Linked DNA regions of Xenopus tropicalis. The protein of the gene in region 7 purifies or fractionates together with the protein of the main gene of each other region. This does not show direct contact. Links are inferred from orthologs where the notes say so. Each region holds a gene or a part of one and is shown on either strand. Other genes may lie near its edges. The genes, in order: rpl31, kri1, ebna1bp2, pop1, sf3b2, brix1 and lin28a.

What was found.
Region 1: the proteins of lin28a (region 7) and rpl31 purify together in Homo sapiens (affinity purification with mass spectrometry; 3 studies listed by BioGRID and IntAct, with this or other methods). This does not show direct contact. The link is inferred for Xenopus tropicalis from reciprocal best matches to the Homo sapiens genes LIN28A and RPL31.
Region 2: the proteins of lin28a (region 7) and kri1 purify together in Homo sapiens (affinity purification with mass spectrometry; 3 studies listed by BioGRID and IntAct, with this or other methods). This does not show direct contact. The link is inferred for Xenopus tropicalis from reciprocal best matches to the Homo sapiens genes LIN28A and KRI1.
Region 3: the proteins of lin28a (region 7) and ebna1bp2 purify together in Homo sapiens (affinity purification with mass spectrometry; 3 studies listed by BioGRID and IntAct, with this or other methods). This does not show direct contact. The link is inferred for Xenopus tropicalis from reciprocal best matches to the Homo sapiens genes LIN28A and EBNA1BP2.
Region 4: the proteins of lin28a (region 7) and pop1 purify together in Homo sapiens (affinity purification with mass spectrometry; 3 studies listed by BioGRID and IntAct, with this or other methods). This does not show direct contact. The link is inferred for Xenopus tropicalis from reciprocal best matches to the Homo sapiens genes LIN28A and POP1.
Region 5: the proteins of lin28a (region 7) and sf3b2 purify together in Homo sapiens (affinity purification with mass spectrometry; 3 studies listed by BioGRID and IntAct, with this or other methods). This does not show direct contact. The link is inferred for Xenopus tropicalis from reciprocal best matches to the Homo sapiens genes LIN28A and SF3B2.
Region 6: the proteins of lin28a (region 7) and brix1 purify together in Homo sapiens (affinity purification with mass spectrometry; 3 studies listed by BioGRID and IntAct, with this or other methods). This does not show direct contact. The link is inferred for Xenopus tropicalis from reciprocal best matches to the Homo sapiens genes LIN28A and BRIX1.

What each region holds. Positions count from the first base shown.
Region 1 is NC_030678.2:110,303,131-110,307,244, reverse strand, and holds the start of rpl31 (60S ribosomal protein L31), read right to left. Parts: upstream 2,801-4,114; 5' UTR 2,777-2,800; exon of another isoform or gene 2,773-2,776; intron 2,067-2,772; 5' UTR 2,065-2,066; coding exon 1,958-2,064; intron 945-1,957; coding exon 819-944; exon of another isoform or gene 789-818; intron 303-788; exon of another isoform or gene 213-302; intron 1-212.
Region 2 is NC_030679.2:138,188,439-138,191,938, reverse strand, and holds part of kri1 (protein KRI1 homolog), read left to right. Parts: intron 1-125; coding exon 126-219; intron 220-456; coding exon 457-534; intron 535-631; coding exon 632-753; intron 754-834; coding exon 835-961; intron 962-1,142; coding exon 1,143-1,238; intron 1,239-1,436; coding exon 1,437-1,607; intron 1,608-3,500.
Region 3 is NC_030680.2:88,304,899-88,308,959, reverse strand, and holds the start of ebna1bp2 (EBNA1 binding protein 2), read left to right. Parts: upstream 1-1,261; 5' UTR 1,262-1,288; intron 1,289-2,200; 5' UTR 2,201-2,206; coding exon 2,207-2,278; intron 2,279-3,981; coding exon 3,982-4,061. UniProt on the Homo sapiens protein: Required for the processing of the 27S pre-rRNA.
Region 4 is NC_030682.2:129,320,696-129,324,195, reverse strand, and holds part of pop1 (ribonucleases P/MRP protein subunit POP1), read left to right. Parts: intron 1-498; coding exon 499-686; intron 687-847; coding exon 848-1,101; intron 1,102-1,601; coding exon 1,602-1,695; intron 1,696-2,055; coding exon 2,056-2,164; intron 2,165-3,500. UniProt on the Homo sapiens protein: Component of ribonuclease P, a ribonucleoprotein complex that generates mature tRNA molecules by cleaving their 5'-ends. Also a component of the MRP ribonuclease complex, which cleaves pre-rRNA sequences.
Region 5 is NC_030680.2:40,092,282-40,095,781, reverse strand, and holds part of sf3b2 (splicing factor 3B subunit 2), read left to right. Parts: intron 1-1,880; coding exon 1,881-1,918; intron 1,919-2,702; coding exon 2,703-2,750; intron 2,751-2,924; coding exon 2,925-3,074; intron 3,075-3,500. UniProt on the Homo sapiens protein: Component of the 17S U2 SnRNP complex of the spliceosome, a large ribonucleoprotein complex that removes introns from transcribed pre-mRNAs.
Region 6 is NC_030677.2:199,190,419-199,193,272, forward strand, and holds the end of brix1 (ribosome biogenesis protein BRX1 homolog), read left to right. Parts: intron 1-430; coding exon 431-481; intron 482-583; coding exon 584-685; intron 686-1,154; coding exon 1,155-1,283; intron 1,284-2,022; coding exon 2,023-2,271; 3' UTR 2,272-2,354; downstream 2,355-2,854. UniProt on the Homo sapiens protein: Required for biogenesis of the 60S ribosomal subunit.
Region 7 is NC_030678.2:77,459,091-77,462,590, forward strand, and holds part of lin28a (protein lin-28 homolog A), read left to right. Parts: intron 1-2,423; coding exon 2,424-2,602; intron 2,603-3,500. UniProt on the Homo sapiens protein: RNA-binding protein that inhibits processing of pre-let-7 miRNAs and regulates translation of mRNAs that control developmental timing, pluripotency and metabolism.

The DNA.
Region 1 (4,114 bases), about 33 Mb from region 7:
TTAAAGATGTATACGGAAAAATTTGCCTCTACTTAACCTGTAGCAATAAGTTTTCTCCTCAATACATTTAAGTGCTAAAACTTTTTCAGGGAATTGATGGTGTGTTCTTTCTTGCAAACCACCTTTGTTTTCTGCTTTATAGTAAAGGATATAGGTAGATAGCCCACTGAAAATTTTGGGTGCCTTGTCTTTGGTGTACTATATTGGGCTTGCAACAGCCAAGAAGCACTGCTGCCTACAAGCAATTGGTGTGCAGAAGCCTGATTGTGCTGCTTTATCTTGAAAAGCTATGGAAGGTTACAGTACCGTATATACTCGAGTATAAGCCGATCCGAATATAAGCCGAGGTACCTAATTTTACCTAAGAAAACTGGAAAAACTTATTGACTCGAGTATAAGCCTAGGGTGAGAAATACAGCAGCTACTGCTAAGTTTCAATAATCAAAATAAATACCAATAAAATGACATTAAATGAGTGGGGTATATGTTTTTAAATATTTATTTAAACGCAAAGAATTAAAATCCTTCAAAACTATATATAGTTTATATAGAATATAAAGTGCAATGTGTAGTGCAGAATGGGACAGGTGATGATGGCAGATGAAGATGAATTTGGGAGCAGCCAGGGCACTGGAGGGTCTGGTTGCGGGGGGCCTCATTTGCACACAAAGGACAGCGGGTGCTAGTCTGGAGGGGCCCATGGCACCCAACTCAAGTATAAGCCGAGGGTGACTTTTTTGGCACATTTTTGGTGCTGAAAAACTAGGCTTATACTCGAGTATATACAGTATATGTAAGGTTTTATATCCAAGACTCACCTGATTCCTTTGGCCCAAACAGCTTTGTTCAGTCTGGTATCAATACGAACATCAGGAGTACGCATTTCTTTCACTGCAAACTTCCTGATCTCTTTAAGAGCCCTAGGTGCACGCTTTTTGAACCCACTAAAAAAAAAAATGTATTAATAAAAGTTTCTATTAGAGGGAAAAAAAGTGGTTAATTGTTTGGCAACAATGGCAAAAATACCCTACCCAATACAAAACACTGTGAATATTTTACTTAAGCAGAAAGATAAGCTAAGTAGTAAATAAACAGTAACTGCTTATATAAATATTTCATGTTGTAGGAATTCTACATAAACTATAAAACCTATACAAGACAAACAATCTTTAATAGCTTGAATGAACTATAGATGCAAAAACTGATCTTTTAAAGAGACATGCTATTTATAATTGTGCCTTAAAAGTATTTGCCTGATGCTTTTACATTCCCTATCAGATCCCCATGTTCCTGTATGAGGAGGCTGCCATATTTGTGTAGCAGGAGTCTGTTAGCATTAGAAGCTATAACTGACAGGCTGAGAAGGGACAGTCAGATTTAGGAACTTCAAGTAACAATTACTCACAAAAGCAGCCCTATCTGCAAAAAATGATCATCATGACCTATAGGTAACTTTTAATGTGCATTATTTTTAAGGTGAAACACACACAGCAATTCTGATCTTTCGTGCAACCATTGGTCACACAAAAGATCGTTCTCATCCTCCACAGACGTTCAGCGCTGAATCGTCAGATATGTTGATAAAAACAATATAATCTCTACCTTGACCTGGCGATTCTGCCCTGAATGTAGATTTTGCTTGGGTGCCTTCAATGGTTCCCAATCAAAACCTTTCAACCTGGCCAATGGACTGATATCGATCGCCTCTTCGAGCCGCCATACACGTACCGAATATCATACGAAACTAGGTTTTGCACAATTATATGGCTGTGTGTATGGCCGGGTTTAGTGTCAGTATCACTTTAAGCTGACAAAAACCCTAACTATATGGGGCACAAGTGAAAAAAACCCTTAAATAGTTTTATTCCGTGAAAATCCACTACTGTTAATGTTAAAGACCAGCGCGGTGAGCCAGTACATCCAAGCAAACTTTTTATAGAAAATCAAGGACACTCACATTCCATGGATCCTTTTGTGAATATTGATGGTGTATTCTCTAGTGACCACCTCATTGATGGCAGAGCGGCCCTTTTTCTTCTCACCACCCTTCTTTGCTGGTGCCATTTCTTTGGAAAGAGAAAAACAACAGACGTGTGACAAAGATGAAACCTTTATGTAGGTTCTGCATTCTAAACGCAGGAAAACATGGCAAAATGTTGGAAAGGGCAGAGATTGTACTGGATTTATGGGGATACCGTGGTGAGTTTTATTCAATTCAAGCCTCAGCCACACTTTCCGGCCACTCAGTGACAAGGAAGCCGACACAGTTACAGTACTACCGAGTGGCTACTGCTGCAATACTCATATGAAGAATACATTCGGCTTATGTCATGATTTCTATAGCCGGCAACATACATAGTACAAATCACATTCTTAAAAACTAAATGTCTCTAACAGAGACGTCCACCATCCCCACGTCGCTAGGGTGATGCGATTACTGAAAACCTACCCCCCCCCCCCTCTCAATTGCGATATGAAATAAAGGCCCAGAAATGCCCGCAGTGATTCATTAGTACTGTAATGGTATGGGCTTAGCTGATATATCTGCATTAATGCCATAGATCCTAATGTCGCTAACATCTGGAACGCGGCCTTAATCTCCCGGGTAAGATAATACACAAAACGCATCTTATTTCCTATTTAGCTCCAGATAATGACATTAAGTTGTCGCCCCGAGTCTCACAGACAAGCCCGGGAACAACCGAAGGTATCCGATGGAGACAGAGCGAGGATGGTTACAGATAGAATTAGAGCAGTTACATTCGCCCGTACTCACTCAACCAGGGACTATGTCGGAAAGGAAGTAGAAAAGGATTGTGGGAGTGAAGTAAACTCCAACCCCGTGAATGCGTTTCCGGGTCGACGTAATGACGTCCGCTACGTTCTGAGAATCGTATGCGGAAAAGGGGTTGCTATAGTTACAAGCAGCTTGCTATAGATTTAGCGTCCGTAACTGTGTTTAGCGAGAAAAGCTATAAGGAAACAGAAGCGCAGAAAGCAAGTGCTAGGCACTGTAATGAGGCTTTTCTGCATAACGTACAGTTTATGTATCTTAAGTGTATGCGTTTTATAATGCCACAGTATATCAATGCTGATGTGTCAGGCGATTCATTTATTAATAGTTTGGAACTAGAATTTTGTTTTCCATTATGGGGAGTTTTTAATAAGTCGTCTTCATTATATAACCCATGATAAATATGTCATCTGGTTTTTGGTTTAAGGTAGTGCTGTCCAACTGGAGGGCTGCATGTGGCCCACGACACCCCAGTGTGTGCCCCCCCCCACCTGTCTGGCTGCTTTGATGGCTTCCCTTTGTGTAAACTGCCCCCCCTGCATGGTTTACACCTCAGATTCAGGCTGTAATTCCCCTGTATTGTTTAAACATGTAATCCCCTATAGTGTTCACACATTTTAATCTTTACAAGGTACACACCTTCGGCTCAGACTGTAAGCATACCTCCCAACATTTGAACAATGAAAAGAGGGACAAAAAGATTTGGCGTGTGCAGTGCTGCAATTTTTTGACCACGCCCACTTTTATGGCCACGCAAATTACCACACCCCATCCTTTTTTTTCCAAAAAATACTCCTTTATATAGTTGAAATGGTGAGATCAGATGCAAATTGTGCCATACCCTCATACTGTACTACCTAAGGAAAACAATATAGCAACTCCTACATATAAAACACAAATATAGAGAGAAGGCAGTCAGTTATAAGTGAGTTATAACTGTACCAGTTTTGCACCCCCATACACAGTGCCCCCAGTGGTCCAATAGACAGTACCCCCCATACACAGTGCCCCCCATAGAAATTGCCCCCATAGACAGTACCCCCCATAGAAAGTGCCCCAATAGACAGTACCCCCCCAAAGAAAGTGCCCCCAATTGCCCCCATAGACAGTACCCCCCATACACAGTGCCCCCATAGAAAGTACCCCCCATACACAGTGCCCCCATAGAAAGTACCCCCATACACAACGCCCCCATAGTAAGTGCCCCCAATTGAGACAATACCCCCATACACAGTGCCCCCCCCATACACACTCCTTCAGCTGCTCCTCTCGTTATGTGGCTTCTTATATGGTGGTGACAGGCCCTTTTAAGTGCACATA
Region 2 (3,500 bases), on a different chromosome or scaffold from region 7:
TCCAATCGGCTCCCTGGGCGATAATGTGTCTGTATGTGGTTTTCTGGGTGCCGTTCTGCAGGAGTTGGTCACTGGCGCTTCTGAAGGGGACACATTTAACCCTCAATTCTATGGTTCCTTTGCAGCTTCCGGACGTTTGTGGAGGACAGTGACAACGAGGACGGAGAGGGAACGGCGGGGAATTTATTGACGAGACGAATAAAGACCAAGAAGGAGCAGGTTGGTGGTGGTTAAGGAACTCTCTCTCCCCAGCCTTCCATTAGTGTCCTGCCTATTGCTGTTTATTTATCTCAGTAGTTCAGCTGGATTGTCTGACTATTGGTCTGTGTGTAGGTGAGGCTGCAAGCCTATTGGCCAATAGGAATTTCTCACAATGCCTAAGCTATCCTAAGTACAGCCATCTTTACCCCGTGCTTAATGTGGGGCCCATTAACATGTAATGTTTGGTTGTTACAGGAGGAGGAGGAAGAGGAATACATTGCCTGGCTGAAGGGCCAGAAGGAAATCCATGATAAAGGGGAAGTAAAGGAGATGGTGAGTGGCTGGGATAATGCTTCATAATAATAATAATGTCCTCTCTGTCATCCTGAAATGGTTTCACTCACTGCAACTTTCCTTTCTGTTCCATTAGGGGTTCCTAAAGGAATATTGGTCTGACCCGGCTCTGGATGAGGGGGAGAAATTCCTGCGGGATTATATACTCAACAAGGAGTATCTGGAGGAGAAGGAGGACTCTGAGGAGGATGAGGAATGGTAAGGTTTATATCATTATACATCTAAATACATAATATAAGTATATAATATTGATTAACTTGCCCCCTTCTCCCTGCGTAGCCCCCCAGCCCTAGAAGAGGCCCCACATGTGTCAGATTCAGAGGACGAGGGGGAACTTTTCCTGAAGAAACAAGAAGATTTTGAGAGAAAATACAATTTTAGATTTGAGGAGCCGGATTCTGATTTGGTTAGTTATACAGTTTGAGCGACAGACCTGAGCATTTGTGATTGGCTGAGTGCTCATGTGACCCATCTGTCTGTCTGTATTTTAAGATGGAATGAGCAGCTGCGGGGCTGCTTGGGGGACCCCCCCATCCCCGTTGCCATGGGATTCTGGGGCTCTGATAGTTTTCTCTCTCTGTTCCCAGGTTAAGACTTTCCCCAGAACCATCGCACAGTCGGTGAGACGCAAGGACGACCGGAGGAAGACTAAGAGGGAGGAGACCAAAGAGAGGAAAATGAAGGTGGGTGGGAGAAAAGGGCGGCAGCGATACAGGGTGCAGGGAGAGCAGGAAGAATAAGGGTGAACTGCAGGCATCCCTGCCTCCCAGCATTCTCTCTGGGCCTAATACTGACGTCTGGCCAAGCAGGGTGGGAGTTGGCGACAAGCACAGGCAGAGTACATAGGTTTATTAATGGCGCCACTGCAATCTGTTCTGCAGGAGAAAGAGAGGAAACAGGAGGAGCTGAAGCAGCTGAAGAACCTGAAGAAGAAGGAGGTGCTGGGGCGGCTGCAGAAGCTGCGGGAGTTGGCAGGAGAGAAGTCCTTGGACGTCACAGAGGACGACCTGCTGGAGGATTTTGATCCGGAGAAACATGATCTCATTATGCAAGTGAGACTGCTGGGTCCCTCTGTCTGTCCTGTGTGGGACTGGCGCTGCCTGTACTGTATGGGGGGGGGGGGTGGGACTGGCGCTGCCTGTACTGTATAGGGGGTGGGACTGGTGCTGTCTGTACTGTATAGGGGGTGGGACTGGTGCTGTCTGTACTGTATAGGGGGTGGGACTGGTGCTGTCTGTACTGTATAGGGGGTGGGACTGGCGCTGTCTGTACTGTATAGGGGGTGGGACTGGCGCTGCCTGTACTGTATAGGGGGTGGGACTGGCGCTGCCTGTACTGTATGGGGGGGGGGTGGGACTGGCGCTGCCTGTACTGTATGGGGGGGGGTGGGACTGGTGCTGTCTGTACTGTATAGGGGGTGGGACTGGCGCTGTCTGTACTGTATAGGGGGTGGGACTGGCGCTGCCTGTACTGTATGGGGGGGGGGGGGTGGGACTGGCGCTGTCTGTACTGTATGGGGGGGGGGGTGGGACTGGCGCTGCCTGTACTGTATGGGGGGGGGGGGTGGGACTGGCGCTGCCTGTACTGTATAGGGGGTGGGACTGGTGCTGTCTGTACTGTATAGGGGGTGGGACTGGCGCTGTCTGTACTGTATAGGGGGTGGGACTGGCGCTGCCTGTACTGTATGGGGGGGGGGGTGGGACTGGCGCTGCCTGTACTGTATGGGGGGGGGGGGTGGGACTGGCGCTGCCTGTACTGTATAGGGGGTGGGACTGGCGCTGCCTGTACTGTATAGGGGGTGGACTGGCGCTGCCTGTACTGTATAGGGGGTGGGACTGGCGCTGTCTGTACTGTATAGGGGGTGGGACTGGCGCTGTCTGTACTGTATAGGGGGTGGGACTGGCGCTGCCTGTACTGTATGGGGGGGGGGGGGGGGGGGGACTGGCGCTGCCTGTACTGTATGGGGGGGGGGGACTGGCGCTGCCTGTACTGTATGGGGGGGGGGGGACTGGCGCTGCCTGTACTGTATGGGGGGGGGGGGGGGGACTGGCGCTGCCTGTACTGTATGGGGGGGGGGGACTGGCGCTGCCTGTACTGTATGGGGGGGGGGGGACTGGCGCTGCCTGTACTGTATGGGGGGGGGGACTGGCGCTGCCTGTACTGTATGGGGGGGGGGACTGGCGCTGCCTGTACTGTATAGGGGGGGGGGGACTGGCGCTGCCTGTACTGTATAGGGGGGGGGGGGACTGGCGCTGCCTGTACTGTATAGGGGGGGGGGACTGGCGCTGCCTGTACTGTATAGGGGGGGGGGGACTGGCGCTTAGGGGGGCCTGTACTGTATAGGGGGGGGGGGGACTGGCGCTGCCTGTACTGTATAGGGGGGGGGGGACTGGCGCTGCCTGTAGTGTATAGGGGGGGGGGGACTGGCGCTGCCTGTAGTGTATAGGGGGGGGGGGACTGGGCGCTGCCTGTAGTGTATAGGGGGTGGGACTGGCGCTGCCTGTAGTGTATAGGGGGTGGGACTGGCGCTGCCTGTAGTGTATAGGGGGTGGGACTGGCGCTGCCTGTAGTGTATAGGGGGTGGGACTGGCGCTGCCTGTAGTGTATAGGGGGTGGGACTGCGCTGCCTGTAGTGTATAGGGGGTGGGACTGGCGCTGCCTGTAGTGTATAGGGGGTGGGACTGGCGCTGCCTGTAGTGTATAGGGGGTGGGACTGGCGCTGCCTGTAGTGTATAGGGGGTGGGACTGGCGCTGCCTGTAGTGTATAGGGGGTGGGACTGGCGCTGCCTGTAGTGTATAGGGGGTGGGACTGGCGCTGCCTGTAGTGTATAGGGGGTGGGACTGGCGCTGCCTGTAGTGTATAGGGGGTGGGACTGGCGCTGCCTGTACTGTATAGGGGGTGGGACTGGCGCTGCCTGTACTGTACCGGCGCTGTGCATGCATGG
Region 3 (4,061 bases), on a different chromosome or scaffold from region 7:
TAACAACAGTGGAGTAGATTATTTTTTATAATGCAAAAGTTTCATGAGTCATGTGGCACAAATTACATCACTAAGGACTGATTATAACCAATGACATTAATAAGCACTGTTTATACAGTGAATTACACACCCCCTGTTGTGAAATATAAGTAATTTATAAGTCATGGCTCTTATTTATTATAAAGATTTATTTTACAGGATGATCATAGAAATTGTGCATTATAACCTACTTCTGAAGAGCCACACTGAGCTTCAGATTAAGTAAATTGTATGCCAGTATTTTGTGCTATTGCTTGATAGGAGATACGATAATATTAGATACTGATCCAAACAAAATAATTGTACAAGCCTAAGAAGATTTGTTATTCATGTAAGTACAGTGGCTATTTAGAATGGCAGAGAAAATCGACAAGGGCCATTTCTATTATAATGTGCTCAATGTTCAAATAAACTTTATGATTGTAATTGTGTATGCGCAGCCCCTCCAAACCGCCCCTTGACGGGACCGGCACATAGACTGCACTTTACTTCTCAGTAACATATCGGTTATTCTATGGAATCAGGATAATATGACTCGGCTCAGTGTGTCACATATTACCAAAGTTGGACTGTGTGTGGCAGGATTAAGCAATATTTTCAAATAAGACTTGGTACTTGGACAGAACAACCTTTATACATAAAAAATACTATTATATATTTGACAACACCTTTGAATAGTCCTATAAGACAAATGTAAAGGAGAGGTTAAGAAATGGTGGGATTTGTGCACCTATCAGGTTAGTCAGTAAAATATACAAGCCATTAGCCCGTAGATTCATACTGTACCTCTCGGTGCGCTCAGAACTCGCTGTATATGACTGTTGCCATGGATACAGGGACGCTCCACATGTTAGAGACTTGGCCGATTGGAATGACGGGTAATGTAGTCTCCCAGTATCATGGAGGGAGACTTCCGTCTTTCTAAAGACTGGTCCCAATTTAGAAGTTCCCGGCCCCTACCCCATTTCTGTGTAGTGTTTCTCCCAACACAAATATTCATGTGGTACGGTTTAATACTGAAGTGGTAGCACAAGTAATACATATTTCAAACAGAGTCAGTGGTTTGTTTATGAACTGAGCCACTCGGAAATTACTTCTACGCTGCTAACTTATTGACACTTCAGGCGCACTGGACGTCGGGATTTGTAGTTGTAACTTGCACACGTGACACCCTCGTACAATTCCTTTCGTCACCGGAAAGAGGGAGGAAGGCGATATCCGGGTGGCAACACGTGAAGTTTGCCTGGAGGTAGGTGTCTGTCTAGTGTTGGTTCGGATATTGGGTCTCTTTCCATGTGTATATAATCTGTATGTTTAATGTGTACATCCCCTTGAAAGTACAGCAGTGTTGGCTATTATAGTGCTTTATAAATCCCTCTTAACAATAAAGACAGGGTGGAAATATAGCCTCGGCTGGGGGAGATGTATGTATGTATGTATGTATGTATGTATGATCGATCAGATTTTTGCAACATACGAATGTACAGATACTATCCGCTGCAGTTGCTTTTGCTAAACACAAATTGAAAGATTCTAATAATTACAAAATTCTGTCAATCCTTGTGTAACAGTTGCACAGAATACTTGCTGTAGATTGCAATCTGATTTTGTTTAAATTAAATGCATTTGTTGCGGCCCTCCTGAAAATGGCCATACACGTAGCGATTTTCAACCTTTCACGCGACCATTGGTTGCACGAAAGATCGTTCCCACCCTCCACTTAGATTTGAATCCCGAATGGGAAAAATTCGGATTGGAAACGAAAAAAGATTGCAAATATCATGAAAATGCTTACGAGAAAATCGTATTAGTCACGATAATATCGTATTGGCGATCCGAAAGTCCCGAAATTTTTGTACTGAACGATTGTAAACAGCGGCAAAGCCGATCTGATTTGTTTGCGAAAGCGCTGAAAAAATAGCGCAAGGTACGAAAAAGTTGCGGAAAATATGATTGGACCGATTGAACAAACGCTCGGAGCGTTCGTGGATAAGTAAATATGCCCCATAGTGTTTGACACTAATAGCGGTGAAGATGTTTAAAGAATTGCTGGTAAATCATATTTTTGATAAATTGTGGCTAATAAAATAAATTGCTGCAAAATTTAATTTTTGCACAAATTAAGATTTGATTTTTACTGTGAACTGTTTGAACATTCAAGGTAACCATGTTAGCCCATGAAGATAGTTCTCCAGAATCAGATTCTGACTTTGATGCCTCAGAGTTGACAGATAAAGAGGTGAGTTCATGATTATTTTTTTTTATAAATTTCTTAAAAAATAAAAGGCTGTTTATGATTGCAAGGTAAGGAACCTTTCATTGAAACAAGAGAATATCACTGCCCACTCTCATCCTTTCTCTTATCACTGATCTATGCACAAGCATTTTAGGTGGCAGGCTCCCCACTGGTGCATGAGCTTCTACACTAGCCTACACTGCTGTAGTCACAAGAGCTAACGTCACAGCAAGTATTGTGGAAGCATAAGCAGATTTCCAAGAAGTATGCTTCCTAAAAGCAGTAGCCAGGAGGGAGCATTAAAGAGCAACAAGCAGCAGGTTATCGCTAATCAAGCTAAAAGTTTGTTTAAAAACAAATATAGCAGTTTGGAGTGGGCCCTTTAGGGGTCATGGTGGATGATCTGTTACATTTTGGTTTAGTGGTTGACTTCTCTTTTAAAGGAGAACTAAAGATGTAACCTAGAAATGTTGTAAATTATGTTTTGGGCGTCTGTACCAGCCCAAGGCAACCACAGCCCTTTAGCAGGGAAGATCTGTGCCGTCAAAATGCCCCAGTAGCTTCCATCTTCTTTTCTGCTGATTCACTGCACATGCTCTGTGCTGCTGTCAGTTACTGAGCTTAGGGACCAACTTACAATATACTGTATATATAGAATATAAATATCACAATATAAGGCTGATTAGTAATTAACACAGATTATTACTGCATGGCAGCTCTGAAACCAGTGCCATTAGCATCAGACTTTAATGATCAGCCCATTAGTATAAGCTTATATGACAAACAACATCAACAGCTGCTCAGAGTGCACTGAGCATGTGAGTGTTGCAGACACTTCTAACAGAAGTGTCTGGTATGGTCACCACCTGTGACAAATTTAAAGGACTGAATTATTACTACTTTAGAGATGTTGAACCTTTAGGCTGGTTCAATAAGTTCATTATATAAAATATGGCATGTCTAGCCATATTCATTTTTAGGGTTTAGTTCTCCTTTAAACACAGGTGCCCATTCACGGGCCACTACTGGCTACTGATTTAGTCTTTCTTGACTTTCTGCCAGAGAATCAGCCTGTGGTAAAAGTAACTTTTTCCAATCAATATTTGTTCAGGGTCATGCACATATGAATTAACTTGGGAGAGAAATCATGTTGGCCAAGACTTAATCTATCTGCATTGAGCATTGCACATTTGCCCTAGTCAGTTGCAGATTCTTTAAGACTTGGTAAAAGCAATGGTCTTCTCTGCTTTGATCATAACAGGTTGAAGCCTTTATAGAATTATGGTAAAAGATGAGGGTCAACAAAGCAGAGTAAAGCACTCTTCACTTTTAAGTAATAATATGGACTGTTATATAAGGTTTAATAGCTATAAGTTGGGTATATTAAACAAACAATAGAGGCATTCAATGTTAATATACAACACTGTAATAAATATGGCACTGTTAATAACTCAGGGAAAACTAGTGGAAATTATCCTGGAAGCCATGGATCTTCATGAGCTGTAGCGCAGCTGGGAATGGAAATCTTTCAATTTGTTCTCCATCAAATCAAACTTAACTGCTGTTTGGTACTGGGTTCCAGCAGTGGTGTAGTTTAGCACTTATACTGGTAAATGAACCTATATCTTTTCTGTAGTGAATTGCCTTGTACCCTGTGATAATCAAGTGTATTTTACAATATCATTAATTGTTTACTTCTGTTACAGTTGCAGGAAGCATTTTCTCAGGGGAAACTAAAGCCTGGATTAAATGTGATCTTAGAAGGAAAGAAGAAACCTTTCAATGA
Region 4 (3,500 bases), on a different chromosome or scaffold from region 7:
GTAGCAGTGGGGGGATAATAGCCTCTGGGAAGGGGCTGTGGCTGTGGGACAGCAGGTATAGTAGGGAGAGATGGTGCCTATAGTAGCAGTGGGGTAATAGCCTCTGGGAAGGACTGTGGCTGTGGGACAGCAGGTATAGTAGGGAGAGATGGTGCCTTTAGTAGCAGTGGGGGGATAATAGCCTCTGGGAAGGGGCTGTGGCTGTGGGATAGCAGGTATAGTAGGGAGAGATGGTGCCTATAGTAGCAGTGGGGGGATAATAGCCTCTGGGAAGGGACTGTGGCTGTGGGATAGCAGGTATAGTAGGGAGAGATTGTGCCTATAGTAGCAGTGGGGGGATAATAGCCTCTGGGAAGGGACTGTAGCTGTGGGATAGCAGTTATAGTAGGGAGAGATGGTGCCTGACCATTCATTTATAGATTATAACTGTGGGAAATTGTAGGATATATCAGTCTCGATCTATGTAGCCCAGATGTACTCTATAATTTTGATCCTCAGGCCCATCTTTTGCTGCTGCCTTGTGTCTCTCTGGAAAGCGCCAAGGATCCTTGGTCCTGTATAGAGCTGATAAATACCCCAAAGAAGCTCTCGGTTCTGTTACATTTCTCTGGAAACCAGCCTGTGTCCCTGATTCTCCATCTGAAAAAAGGCAGTTGTGGATATGGTGTCACCCTACTCTCAAACAGGTAAGTGACCGTTTCATTATTTTATACTGGCAAATCTCAATTTGAACCTGGGCTTAGGCTAAATTACTGCTATTGATTTTAGTTTCTTACTGCAGTTTTTTTGTTTAAGCCTGCCATGTTTTTTATGAAATTGGAATAAACTCCATATACATGTCTGATAGGACATACTGAGAGAATTAAGACAAGTTTGTCAGTGTGAGGAAGCTCCTGACATTGCTGTCTGCAAGCCCGAGCCTGTTATTGCTCCACAACCTGCAAAACCACAAACTACCCCTAAAACTACAGCGAAAAAGCGGAAGCGGAAAGATCAGGAAGGGGAACAGGCAGTACCTGTGAAAAGAATCATTGGCGATGGGACTAGGGATTCTCTGGATCCATATTACTGGACATCAAAGCATACAGCCATCAGAATTAGGTATGTATAAGGCTTGTGGCATATGCCTGTTCTTTCTGCTGCTCTGAAATGTTAGACAGTGGCATATGGACTGTGGGTCTGTGGGTTCTGGCAAATGCCAGAGGGGCTGCTGTAAGATGCCATAGACAGTCACTATTTATTGGGCTGGTGGGGCTGTTTGGGCCTCTGTGTCCTTGCAAAGCCAGGGACTATTTTAAATCCAAGTTGAGGCCAGCACATGAATAGTATAAGCCCTAAACAAATGTGCTTTAAAAGGTGATTACTATGGCCAAAATGGTGATTGTAAGATCACCTTCCAAACACTTTTTCAGGTTTCCCTTTTACAACTTCTGCATTCTAATGTTGCATGTTCTTCAGGTCCTTCTGTAGTCCATACTTTGCAACAGTGAATTGGCCAATGTATATTTGTTTGCAGCAGAGACTTTTCATAGCACCAATGCATGTGGTGTATTTGAGTTATCCTATTCATTACATAAAATCGGCTTAATCTCTTCTCCTAGTGATCTGACTATGGAATTTGTGCGCTATCGACTGACTGGCCCTCTCTCTCACAGTGTGCTGACTGAAGCTTTGCGTTCTGCTCCACTTCATAAGGCAAGCTGAGGATTTCTTATTTGTTTTGTATGTGACAGGGTTACCTAACTACTATGCTTCCATAATGTGGCAGCTAAAAGAATGGTACTTTGATTAACTTTGATATATAATTTTACTTTTATACAGGTTTATTATATTTAGTTGCCTCCAGGAATACCTGGAGCTCTAAAGCTGTACATGCTGTACGACTCTGCTTTGTACAGCAGAAAAATGTTAACTTTCCATAAACTGTCCCACTGCACCACCTAGTTCCTTAAAGTTATTGCCACTTAAACAGAGGCTGTAAAATTGGCCAATCCTGTTAAAGTTAACCTGTATTTTCCTGTTGAAATCAAGTCTAATGTACAGCCTTATTCCTAGGAAACTGAAAGTGATGCAGGGCCTCATACCTGGTGGGCAGATTACTGCAGTAACCCTGAGAATGTCAGACTCCATACCCTTCAGGAATCCATGTTTCAGCTGCTGCAAGGTACCCTCTCAGCTTCTCTGTTATAGGATTTCTTGTATCAGCCAACTATTTCTCTGTGCTACAAAGCAGAGTGGGATAAGCTGGAATACCTATCATACTGAAGCAAAATATAGGTCTCTGCAAAACAACACAAGCATCTGTGAGTGAGCTATTTGCTACTCAACAAATAAATGCAGGGGAGCTCTGTTTAGCCTTCAACTTACTTCTAATACCGGATATTTTCAGCTTGGATAATTGAAAGCCCCATTATAAAATAGGGCTGCTCCCATTGTTTGCCCTTAACCCCCCACCAGATTTTACATACAGCTTTATTAATAACTACATATGAGAGAGCTACATTTTTACCCCTTTTTATCTGTTGGCAAAAATTGTGGGTTCATGCCCCTTTTGTGGTTCACCCCCTTAGCTTAAAGCAAGGTTATAGCTATATTTGCAAACTTAAGATCGGCAAGGAGTATTTGCTCTCCCCTAGCACACCCATCCGCTGCTTTGAGACCCTTTATGAGGCCATTCCTCTGCTTTAAAGGGGTTGTATTCACCTTTCAGTTACATTTTAGTATGTTATAGAATGGTTATTTCTAAGGAACTTTTCAGTTGGTCTTCATTAATTATTTTTTTTATACATATAAATTAGGTGTCGCTGCCTTTAGACATTTTCCAACTTTCAAATGGGGGTCACTGACCCCAGCAGCCAAAATTATAAGACTACAATTTTATTGTTATTGTTAATTTTTCTATTCAGGCCCTCTTCTATAAATGTCAGTCTCTCATTCAAACCACTGCCTGGTTGCTAAAGAAATGTAAACCCTAGCAACAAGATAACTGCAAAAATATCATGCTATAGAGCTGCTGAGCAAAAAGTGAAATCATTAGAAAAATAAATAAATAAAATCCTATTACAAATTGTCTCAGAATATCACTCTTTAGTATAATGTAAACTCAAAGGTGAACTACCCATTTAAAGATATCAGTAAACAGGTTTTCTGCAGAGTAAAGCTGGCCATACACGTGGCGATCTGACGATGTTTCGTTCGACCATAGGTCGCACGAAACATCGTCAGATCCGCCACACACCGTCAGGGCTGAAACAGCAGATAAGGAGGTAGAAACAATAGGATTTCTACCTCCTTCTGCCGATTCAGCCCTGACGGCAGATTTTGGTCAGGCGCCTTCTATGGCGCCCGATCAAAATTTTCTAACCTGGCCGATCGGCAAGTCGTCCGATATCAGCAGCTTCCTGCGATATCGGTCGACTCGCCAACATGCCATACACGCACCGAATATCATACGAAACGAGGTTTCGTATGATAGTATCGGTGCGTGTATTGCCAGCATA
Region 5 (3,500 bases), on a different chromosome or scaffold from region 7:
TAGCATTCCCCTATATCAGTGCTGTCCAACTTCTACGGTGCCGAGGGCCGGAATTTCTCTAGCATACATGGTGGAGGGCCGCTAATTGTAGCCAGTTTTGACCACTCCCCTTTTTGAAACCACACCCACTTCAAACCACACCTATTTTATCACAATGGTGGTAGCACAGCAAAATCCCAAATGCTTGGTCCTTACTGTGGGGATATCAACCATCATTCATATGTGAAAGAATTATGTCATATTAAGATATACCCTTAAATTCCATATGCCTCCTCCTCCCCTGTGGATAGCAGAGCAACCCCCAGTACATAATTACACACCTTAGGAACGATTTAATGGCTATTTCCAACTGCTAACAAACTCCCACAACAAACCCCTGCCAGGTTCACCTCCCACAAGCAGCATAGGGCAAGCAGAGTATGGCACACACAGGCAGCACTCTGCCTGTCCTATGCTTTCTGTGTGTGCCATACCCTGCCTGTGTGTGCCATACTCTGCCTTCCCTATGCTGCCTCTGTGTGCCATACTCTGCCTGCCCTACCCTGACTGTGTGTGCCATACTCTGCCTGCCCTACCCTGACTGTGTGTGCCATACTCTGCCTGCCCTACCCTGACTGTGTGTGCCGTACTCTGCCTGCCCTACCCTGACTGTGTGTGCCATACTCTGCCTGCCCTACCCTGACTGTGTGTGCCATACTCTGCCTGCCCTACCCTTCCTGTGTGTGCCATTTCCTGCCTGCCCTACCCTGACTGTGTGTGCCATACTCTGCCTGCCCTACCCTGACTGTGTGTGCCATACTCTGCCTGCCCTACCCTGCCTGTGTATGCCATACTCTGCCTGCCCTACCGTGACTGTATGTGCCATACTCTACCTGCCCTATGCTGGCTGTATGTGCCATACTCTGCCTACAGTACCTATGTCTGAGGTGTGAAGAAGTAAACAATTGGAGTGATTACAGTCTGAGCCTGAGGTGTGAACACTGCTGGGGGTGAACAATGCAGGTATTAAAAGGTGTGAAAAACACAGGGAACTACATTTTTAAACAATACAGAGGGATTACAGCCTGAATCTGAGGTGAGAACCATGCAGGGGGCCAGTTAATCTCAGTACTGATACCATTTAATGCTTACTCACACAGAGGGGGGTCGCGGGCCGCCAGTTGGACAGCACTGCCCTATATGACAAATTAATTTAACAGGGGTAGGTAGAAATTTGTGCACCATCACATTAGACTATGTGTGTTGCCAGAAAACTACAGCAATTTTTTCATCAGCTGTATTGCTGGTCTCAAACCTGCCTCTATCAAGACCATTCTAGAAACAGGGTGAACTTTTTCCTTAGAATTTTCTTTTCCAAAACCCTGTCCTTTATGAGAGTTGGAATTGAAATCTGATTATGCTTTGTGTAACTCCATATCAGGGCTAGGGGATTTTCTTCTAGTTTTCTGTTATTAGTTTAAGTATTTTTATAATGACATTCTTAGGACCAGAGATACACAATGATATAGAACTTAACAACTGGAAAACTGAAAACTTGTTGGCAACATTTCACAGCACCTTTTTGTGATATAAAAGGCAGCAATGACCACATGTTGACTGGCAAGGAGTACAGAAGGGATGCAAAGGTATCATGTGGTAAGGCTGGATATAGAATCAGCCTCTTGTATATTTCCTGAGTGGTTACAGTATACTTTATTAAAAAGAAAGTGTTTGTAAATAATTATTCTCCACAAGGTCTTTTGCTGGAAGGTGTTATTCCTGTGAAGTATTATGAAGGATATTTCCTCCTTAAATTGTAGAGCATAGTACTTTTCAGAAAGTGTATTCTATGTAATATTGAGTTACTAGTACATCTTATTAATAATGTCTCTTTCCCACAGGAAGCAGAGAGGATATTATGGATCTTGCTTCTCCACAGGTAATTTACTGTGTGTTACTATATATTTGTCTGGAATGTCTTACAGTCAATCCTTACCCCTTTTTTTAATTTTCACTTTACAGACTGGTTAACTGACCCAATAACAGGGCATTTATAATCCACTCTGTGTTTGCACTCACAGGCACTAAGTACACCAAGGAGCAAGAGGATAGAGGATCAGTTGATTCTCAGGCAGTGTTTATACACATGAAAAGAATCAGTCCCATGTGGCAATAGCTTTACTAAGAAGTCCCATAACTCCCATACAGTTATGGGCTTTACACACATGGGTGCTAGATTACATTAGTGTAGGTACTGATAGCAACCAGTCATGTCTTTGCTTTCATTTTCAAGTTATTTGCTGATTGTTTGCTGTTGGCAACTGCATTTTTGTGTAATTTAGCAACTATGTTAGTAAATGAGCCTTTAAGTCTTTAGGATCACCAGAACCCAGCTTTTTCTGCTTTGCTTCATTCAAATTTTAAGCAAAAGCTCTCTATGAAATCTCTATGAAAAACCCTTTTCATACGTTTACTTTAGCAAAATCCATTATTTTTCTCATGGGCAAGGCAATCTTCAGTGAGTGGGCATCTTTGATTTTTTGTTTATACTGAGATAGGTATTTGAATGTGCTGGTCAAGTGATTTGAAAATGCTAATATGATTCCTTCCTGTTGAGTAAAGAACCCTATTTGCACAGATCAGTGGGCCAGACATAGTTTCTTTTGCAGATAACCCTGTTTTATATAAAAGCTTTATTGTATCTATGTTTTCTTTTATTTTAGGTTCGAGATGATGCTGAAATATCCTCTACTGCTGTTAGATTGGCACAGGTGGGTGTGCTGGCTAAATTAGGATCAAATAAAACAGTATTTTTACTTTTTATAAACTTTGCCTTCTTGCTTATTGAGTCTTTTTTTTTCTGTTACTCAGTCTACTCTGCCTGACCATACTAATTCTATTTGTCTTATTCACCCTAAATAAGTGCTTTCTTGTCCTTTTTATAGATGGCTGGGATGCCTCTACCCACACTTCAGGCTCCTCCCCCACCTCCTGGTCTCGGAAGAGGTTTTCCAATAGGTTTGCCTCCTCGCATAACTACTGACACTGATGGGGTAAAGCAGTCACAAGGTCCAACTCTTTCACTGCAGCCAAAGGTAAAAATGTATTTCCTGTCCTAAATGATCAGACTCAAAAATGTGTCATTTATTTAAGTATCAGTCTCGCAAATGATTCTGCAAGTCTTTATGTGCAAAACTGAGTGATTTGTTAGCCACAGGGTTCCAGGGATATTTTTATTATGTCAGGTAGTATCACAACACCATACTTAATGAAACCAAATTTTGAAGTCTTTAATACAAATGCTGCTGTGTCCCATTGGAGAGATATAGCAGGGTTGGAGAAGAGAAAAGAACACTGTGACCCCTGGATTTTGGTTCATCTTCATGTGAAGCCCAGGTTTTATATTCAGTACTAGATTTGGTATATTCTCTCTGCTTCCTTACTAGGAGCAAGAGGCAATTAGAGAAAATGTATTTTATGTTCTGACTCGGGGCTATTGAGAAACTGTATGGGAAGTTGTC
Region 6 (2,854 bases), on a different chromosome or scaffold from region 7:
TTCTATTGGGTGGGGCTGGCACAGTTTACAATTATCATGCTATTTCCTTTCTGTCTGCTGCCACTCGAGTATTGCCCCACTGTCTGTGCTAAGCAGGAAGGGAGAATGTAGAAAGATAGGTGGAAACTAAATGTGGGTTATGTAGTTCCTGCATGCTGTCTGTAAGCTGAGGAGAAATTATAATTTATAACATGAATGTTTTAGTCCCTTCTCCCCTGCCAGGATTTCAAATGATGCAGAAAGAGAGAAACTGTTTTGCAGCTAGATTTCAGCACATAAAAATGGTATTTATTCCTACTTTTTGAAGGCACAGATTGCAGTGGTTGAGAAGCTGGAGTTCCCCTTTAATACAGGGCCTGTCTGTACCATATGTCTCTCTCCTCTTCCTCTTTTATTCCCTTCCACTCAGTAAAATCATTTTTCGTTTCAGGCATTTGACCGGGACCCTCACTATGCTTTGCTGAAAGAGCTACTTACACAGGTACATTATATTATATGCTCATCTGTTTACTGTATGGGGGGGGGGGGGGGGGGGGTGTATAGTCTGTCCCCTAAATATCCTTTTGCTTGTCTCCTTATTCAGATTTTCGGAACCCCGAGATATCACCCTAGAAGCCAACCTTTTGTGGACCACGTGTTCACTTTCTCCATAGCCGACAACCGCATCTGGTTTAGGAATTATCAGGTGGGTAACGGGGGGGGTCAGTCTTGGGCGTCAGGGCTGGGCGAGAGACGCTTCCCATATTTCTGTTGTGTTATCTGTGTTAAAGCCATATATCATCCCAGAGAATCCATGTGTATATACATATATGTATGTGCTGCACATAAGTGGTACCAAACAGTTGTTAATTCAGTCAGTTTTCTCTGACTTGCTAAGCTTATATGCAGATGCAAAGCTGGTGGGATATAAGGGTCCCTGTTAGGAACTGTGCCCCATGTGACTCAATACTGTACTATAAAGAGAATGTTAGCCTTACAGTAAGACGAGGAGAAGCAGTCCTGTGAATGCAGGAGAGTAGATTAAATTCCCAGTGCTAGTCCCCAAATATTGCACATTGGTTTCAGGCAGATACATCAGCCTTAGTGTTTATTTTTTGCACCCTTCCCAGTGTGTGTACAATCAGAATAATAAGTTGTGTTGTTGTGTCTATCAGGTTATAGAAGAGGATGCAGCCCTGGTGGAAATTGGACCCCGTTTTGTCCTAAATCTCATTAAGATTTTCAAGGGAAGCTTCGGAGGGCCGACACTCTATGAGAACCCTCACTACCAGTCTCCAAACATGGTACGGTATTCACTGCCATCATGGCACACTGGTTGCTGGGACCTCCTTTATAGGCCTGTTATTTAGGCTTCTGCATTCTTACGAAACTGAGTCCCAGGAAAAGTTGCCAAATGATCAGTTAGTTAATTATAGACAGTGGCATAACTACTGTGAGAGGGTGGGGGCTGGGTGAGCCTATTCTGCTCTGCCCCCCCCAAAGATTTTTATCTTTTTTCTACAGGGGGGCCGGTGCAGAGTAGACTCAAGCTCACATATTAATCCCCACTCTCCGCCCACATGTCTACCTGAGAGACCGCATGGAGCGGTGATTTATATGCAGCAATGAAGCAGACCCTGCTGTCCGGGTTGTTATGCCGCTGAATATAGGATTAATCAGAACATCCAAATGAACCTGCAGGTCCAAAAAGAGTAGGAAGGGTTCAAGCTGCGTGGTGCTAATCGTTCCATCACCATCTAGAGCCCGTTCCAGAACTAGTGGATTCTCTTCTTGTAGGCAAATCTAGAACAAGTTATTTGAGCTGAGGGGTTTTGGTACCCTCGTATTCTGGTAACAGCTGGTATAGCACATCTATATTGGGGGGGCTAAAATGAAGGGTCTGGTTTCTTGCAGTGCAGCTGGGAGAAGCTTGATTGTTCATCCATTATTAATGGAAGCTGTAGTTCGGCCCTGACTATTTTCCCCACTGTGTCGCGCTGAGCCCCCTTTAGCTAATGAAAATCCTATGTGTTCCATTTGAAGCACCGGCGAATGATCCGAATGGCGACAGCAGCCAAGGTGAAAGAGAAGCAGCAGGTAAAGGAGCTGCAGAAGATGAAGAAGGAGGAAGACAGACCGGTTATCCCTGCCGATCCCACAGAGTCTGTGTTCTATACTCCAGCTGAGGAGAAACCTCAGACCATTGAGACGGAGCCACCGGCACCCAAGCCCAAGGTGAAGAGGAAAGACAAGCAGTTCAAAAGGCAGAGAATGGCTAAGAAACGCATGTGATGTTTGGGGGGCCGGGTATTGGGGGAGGGGGTATTAGCACGGGGTATGGCTGTTTTGTATATTAAACCTTATCCTAAAAGCTATTCTGCTGCTGTATGGGTGCTTTTCATTCTTTATTCTTAATGTAGATTTAGGTCATAAACAGGCGGCTGGCTTGTGGGGCATTTTATTTAACGCAGAAAACACTGTATGTTCCCATAGATGGATGGAGCCAACTAAACTAAGTAACCAATGATAATATATTGCCTGGCACAAGCATATCTGGCTCCTCCGCCAGCACCAGCGCTTTGTATCCGGATTCAGCAGTTAGCGTTCAGATTCCCAATGCACCTTCATGATTAATGACCCAAACAGAAGGCAATGACGCTCTTGGCAAAACAATGTTTTTATACTGAAATAAATACAAAATCTTGCATGATCTAGCATGATCTGGGGCACAGCAGTAGAAAGATATACATTTGGAGTAGGAAAGACTTATCTGGATATCCTGGCTACTTGTTGCCTTTCCTTGCTTTGCAGTCCAAGTCTCATAATCCCACTTTATTCCCAGTAGGAGATGTTCAGATATTCTGCATTCCTTGCT
Region 7 (3,500 bases):
GAAAATACACAGTGTAAAAAAACGCCACGTGTGGCATCAGCCTTAAACTGCAACTACGAAAATTCTTGATTATATATTTTAGAAAGATTAAAGCTGTATCTTAAAAACTTCTAGGGACCCAAGTCAGGCTACATATAGGTGACTGCAGAGGTGGTCGAAACACCTGTGTGCAACATTAAAATTGACCAATGCCAGCAGCTTATTGGTCTGTGTATGGTGCTTGTTGTTGCTGACTGATAGCTGGCTGAAAGCTGGCACGAACGGTCTGAAGGCGTCCAAATGTGTTTTTTTAGTAATTATAGGTATTTTTGTGACTTTTTCGTCGCCGTAGCGACTTTTTCGTATGTTCCGCGACTTTTCCGTCGCCGTTGCGACTTTTTCGTATATTTTCCGCAACTTTTTAGTTGCGGAAAAATCAGATTGGTTTTACCACTGTTTACAATCGTTCAATACGAAAAAATCGCAACGGCGACGGAATAGTCGCGCAAAATACGATAGTCGCGGTTGCGATGAAAAAACCTCTCCCACAGGAGATTTCGGAAAATCGCCGAAAAAGCCTCGAGTCTTTTTCGGCGATTTGCGCGAAATCGCGCCGCCGCGTCTGCCATCCCGCCGGTGACTTACATGTTCGCCGGTGGGATGGCAGGGGGAAGGCAACTCGGGGAGATTAGTCGCCCGCAAGCAGGGAGTTTTGCCGCGGGCGACTAATCTCCCCGTGTACCAGAGCCCTTAGGGCGAAGACACACAGAGCTACTAGTAGCAACTACTTGTCATGGTTACAAAAATAGTAAATGCTGATCATTTGCTGATAATTGTCTTTACGTGTGTTTTAGCAGAGGCATTGTCTATCTCATTGTCTATGGCAGGGTATTTCCTGGCCTACTAAGTAGCTTCATGTGTCTTCACTCTAAAAGTTATTGTGGGCCTTTAAGGAAAGCTAAGTAGTTGCAGCAGGACTGACTTGCAAATAATTTTGTACAAGTATAACACAAATGGAAAGATAGCCCAAAAACACAGGGCTGTAAAAATAGCACAACTTTCTGAAAAGTGGGTGTGGTTTGGAGCAGATCAGGGGCACATCTTCATGTAACTGAGCATGACTAGCGCATATGAGCATTGTCCACATTTTTTTATATTGAAATGTTGGGAAGTATAATGTTCAATTTCCCTGCTGTCATTGGTTGATCATAGGCTAATATTACATGTGGTCTTTTCTCTGCCAGGATAAATAAGTCAGCAGAGAAAGTGCCAGTCTACTGCCATCAGCCCTAATTGCAGTAGAACTGATACATATGGCATCCACCTGCTTACTCAGTGTTAGCAGTGATAGGTGGATGCCATAAGTGGCAGTGCTGCTGGAACAAAGGGTGTATTACAGTGGATTGGTGTACTCTCTGCTGGAGTATTTATGGTGGAGCAGAAAAAGCCACATATGACCTTAGCCTAAGTGTTCAGGATCCTTTTGTTATGAAAAGTTTAGTTTTAATTATAGTTTAGTTTTGGGTTTATCTTAAGGTAAATTGCATTTCTGTAGCCTCATTTACTGTAAATTGAAATTCTAAATGCTACAGTAAATATCCCCAAACACACTGCCTATGACACTGACTTCACATTGGGAATGTTTTCAGCATCCTTGAAAGATTTAGTTCAAGATTTTTTGACAATTTGTTCAGTGCATTTTGTCCTGCTTAAAAAGTAGCATCAAAACACCAGTAATTGTCCAATGCTGTTATTGCTGAAAAATTGCATTAAAACCACAGTATGGGCAATTTTAAAGAGTTTTATTTCTGAAAAATATTAATGGGTGCAGTAGCAAAAATACCATGTATACCATGAGCAATTGGGGATAAAGTAATAGAAGTCACAAGCGTATATCGCAAACATATATAACAATGGGAAATGAGATTAATGGGCACACCGCTTTTTATAGTATGCTAGAAATACACTAGTAGTGTGTAATATTTAAATTGCAATCTGGGTTAAGAAAAAAAAACCTTTACTAGTGCAACAATTGGTTTGTAATAGGTATCCTTTAATAATGTAAAAACTCGTACTTTACAGTTCTCATAAACCAGGGAAATAATGGGCCAGATTCAATGAGAATAAAATATACTCAAAAAAAAAATATTCATGTATTGGGTAGCAATTTATTGTGCTACAAGCACTTCCTCTTCCACTGTAGCTTACAACCTGCTGTCCTATGTGCATTTTACTATTGCTTGTCATACTGGGCCAGATTAGGTTCCATGAGAACATTTTATTTTACAGTTTATCAAGTATCAAGAAAATCTGGCATTGAATTAGTAAATCAGTTTTTCTCATCAAATTAAATCTAGCCTATTGTCTATTAACAGCATGCAGATCATTCACTGTGTAGATAAATTACATTTATATAGTTAACTGGTTGTATGTTCTATATACAGGAGGGCTTCCAAAATCTTTGGATGAAACAGCAGATATACACAAAAGTGATGAATCTCTGATATTTCAAGGATCTGGAGTATGCAAGTGGTTTAATGTCCGAATGGGTTTTGGATTCCTAACTATGACCAAGAAGGAGGGAACTGATCTTGAGACCCCAGTGGATGTTTTTGTTCATCAGGTAATTATAAAAAAAGAAGTATATCTGTCATATTTAATCTGAGATTATCTGGTGGTTAGAATGTATGATTCTAAATGAGTGTCTGTATCTCCGTATTTACAGCCATGCTATTAAAACGTGTAGTTCAGGATGCACAGTTGGCTTCAGGGATAAATATAGAACAATATACGTGCTTCTGTCCTCCATTTCTAGGTAGCATTTTTGGTTTTGAGGCAATGTTGTGAGAATAGCATTAGGTGTGTATTTAACGTCTGTTTTTAGAGATTTGTGTCAGATGTACAGTGGAGGGTTTTTTTCTGCCTGCTTAAGTCCATCTCGCATTAACCTTATTCATTCCTTCTTTTGCTCCTTTACGGGAAACCAGAGACTGAGTCATTATTTGGAAAGTGGATTGTATTCTCATGCGAAACATTTCATTCTAGTGGTGGGATGTTTTCTTTGGTGGCCCCCTACTGTCATCCTTTACGTAAACCTTGCATATGAATAAATATAATTGCCAGCAGAATAAAGTAGGCAGGATGCCCAGCAGGGAAGTAAATGAATGAATAAGGATATACTCCAGGCAATGGGCTCTACAGTTGTTAACCTTTTGCTGACCCAGGCCAGGCACTCCCAGGATTCACATATGTGGGTGGCATACAGACAATATCCAACTTTATTGCCCAGAAGGTACAATTTCCTTACTGCAGTAACTAACATTCCAACATCAAAAGGTCTCTATCCTGGCCAGAGACACCCTCCCACCAAGTCAGATGCATTTCCTATCCTAATATCTACAGTGTCTAAATGATATGGACTGAGATAAGGCATCCTGCACCAACAAGAAGATATGATTCAGTGTGTTTGGAGTAGGATGAAGTCCAAAGGGTAAAAAGGGTGATACATAAACATCCTGTCC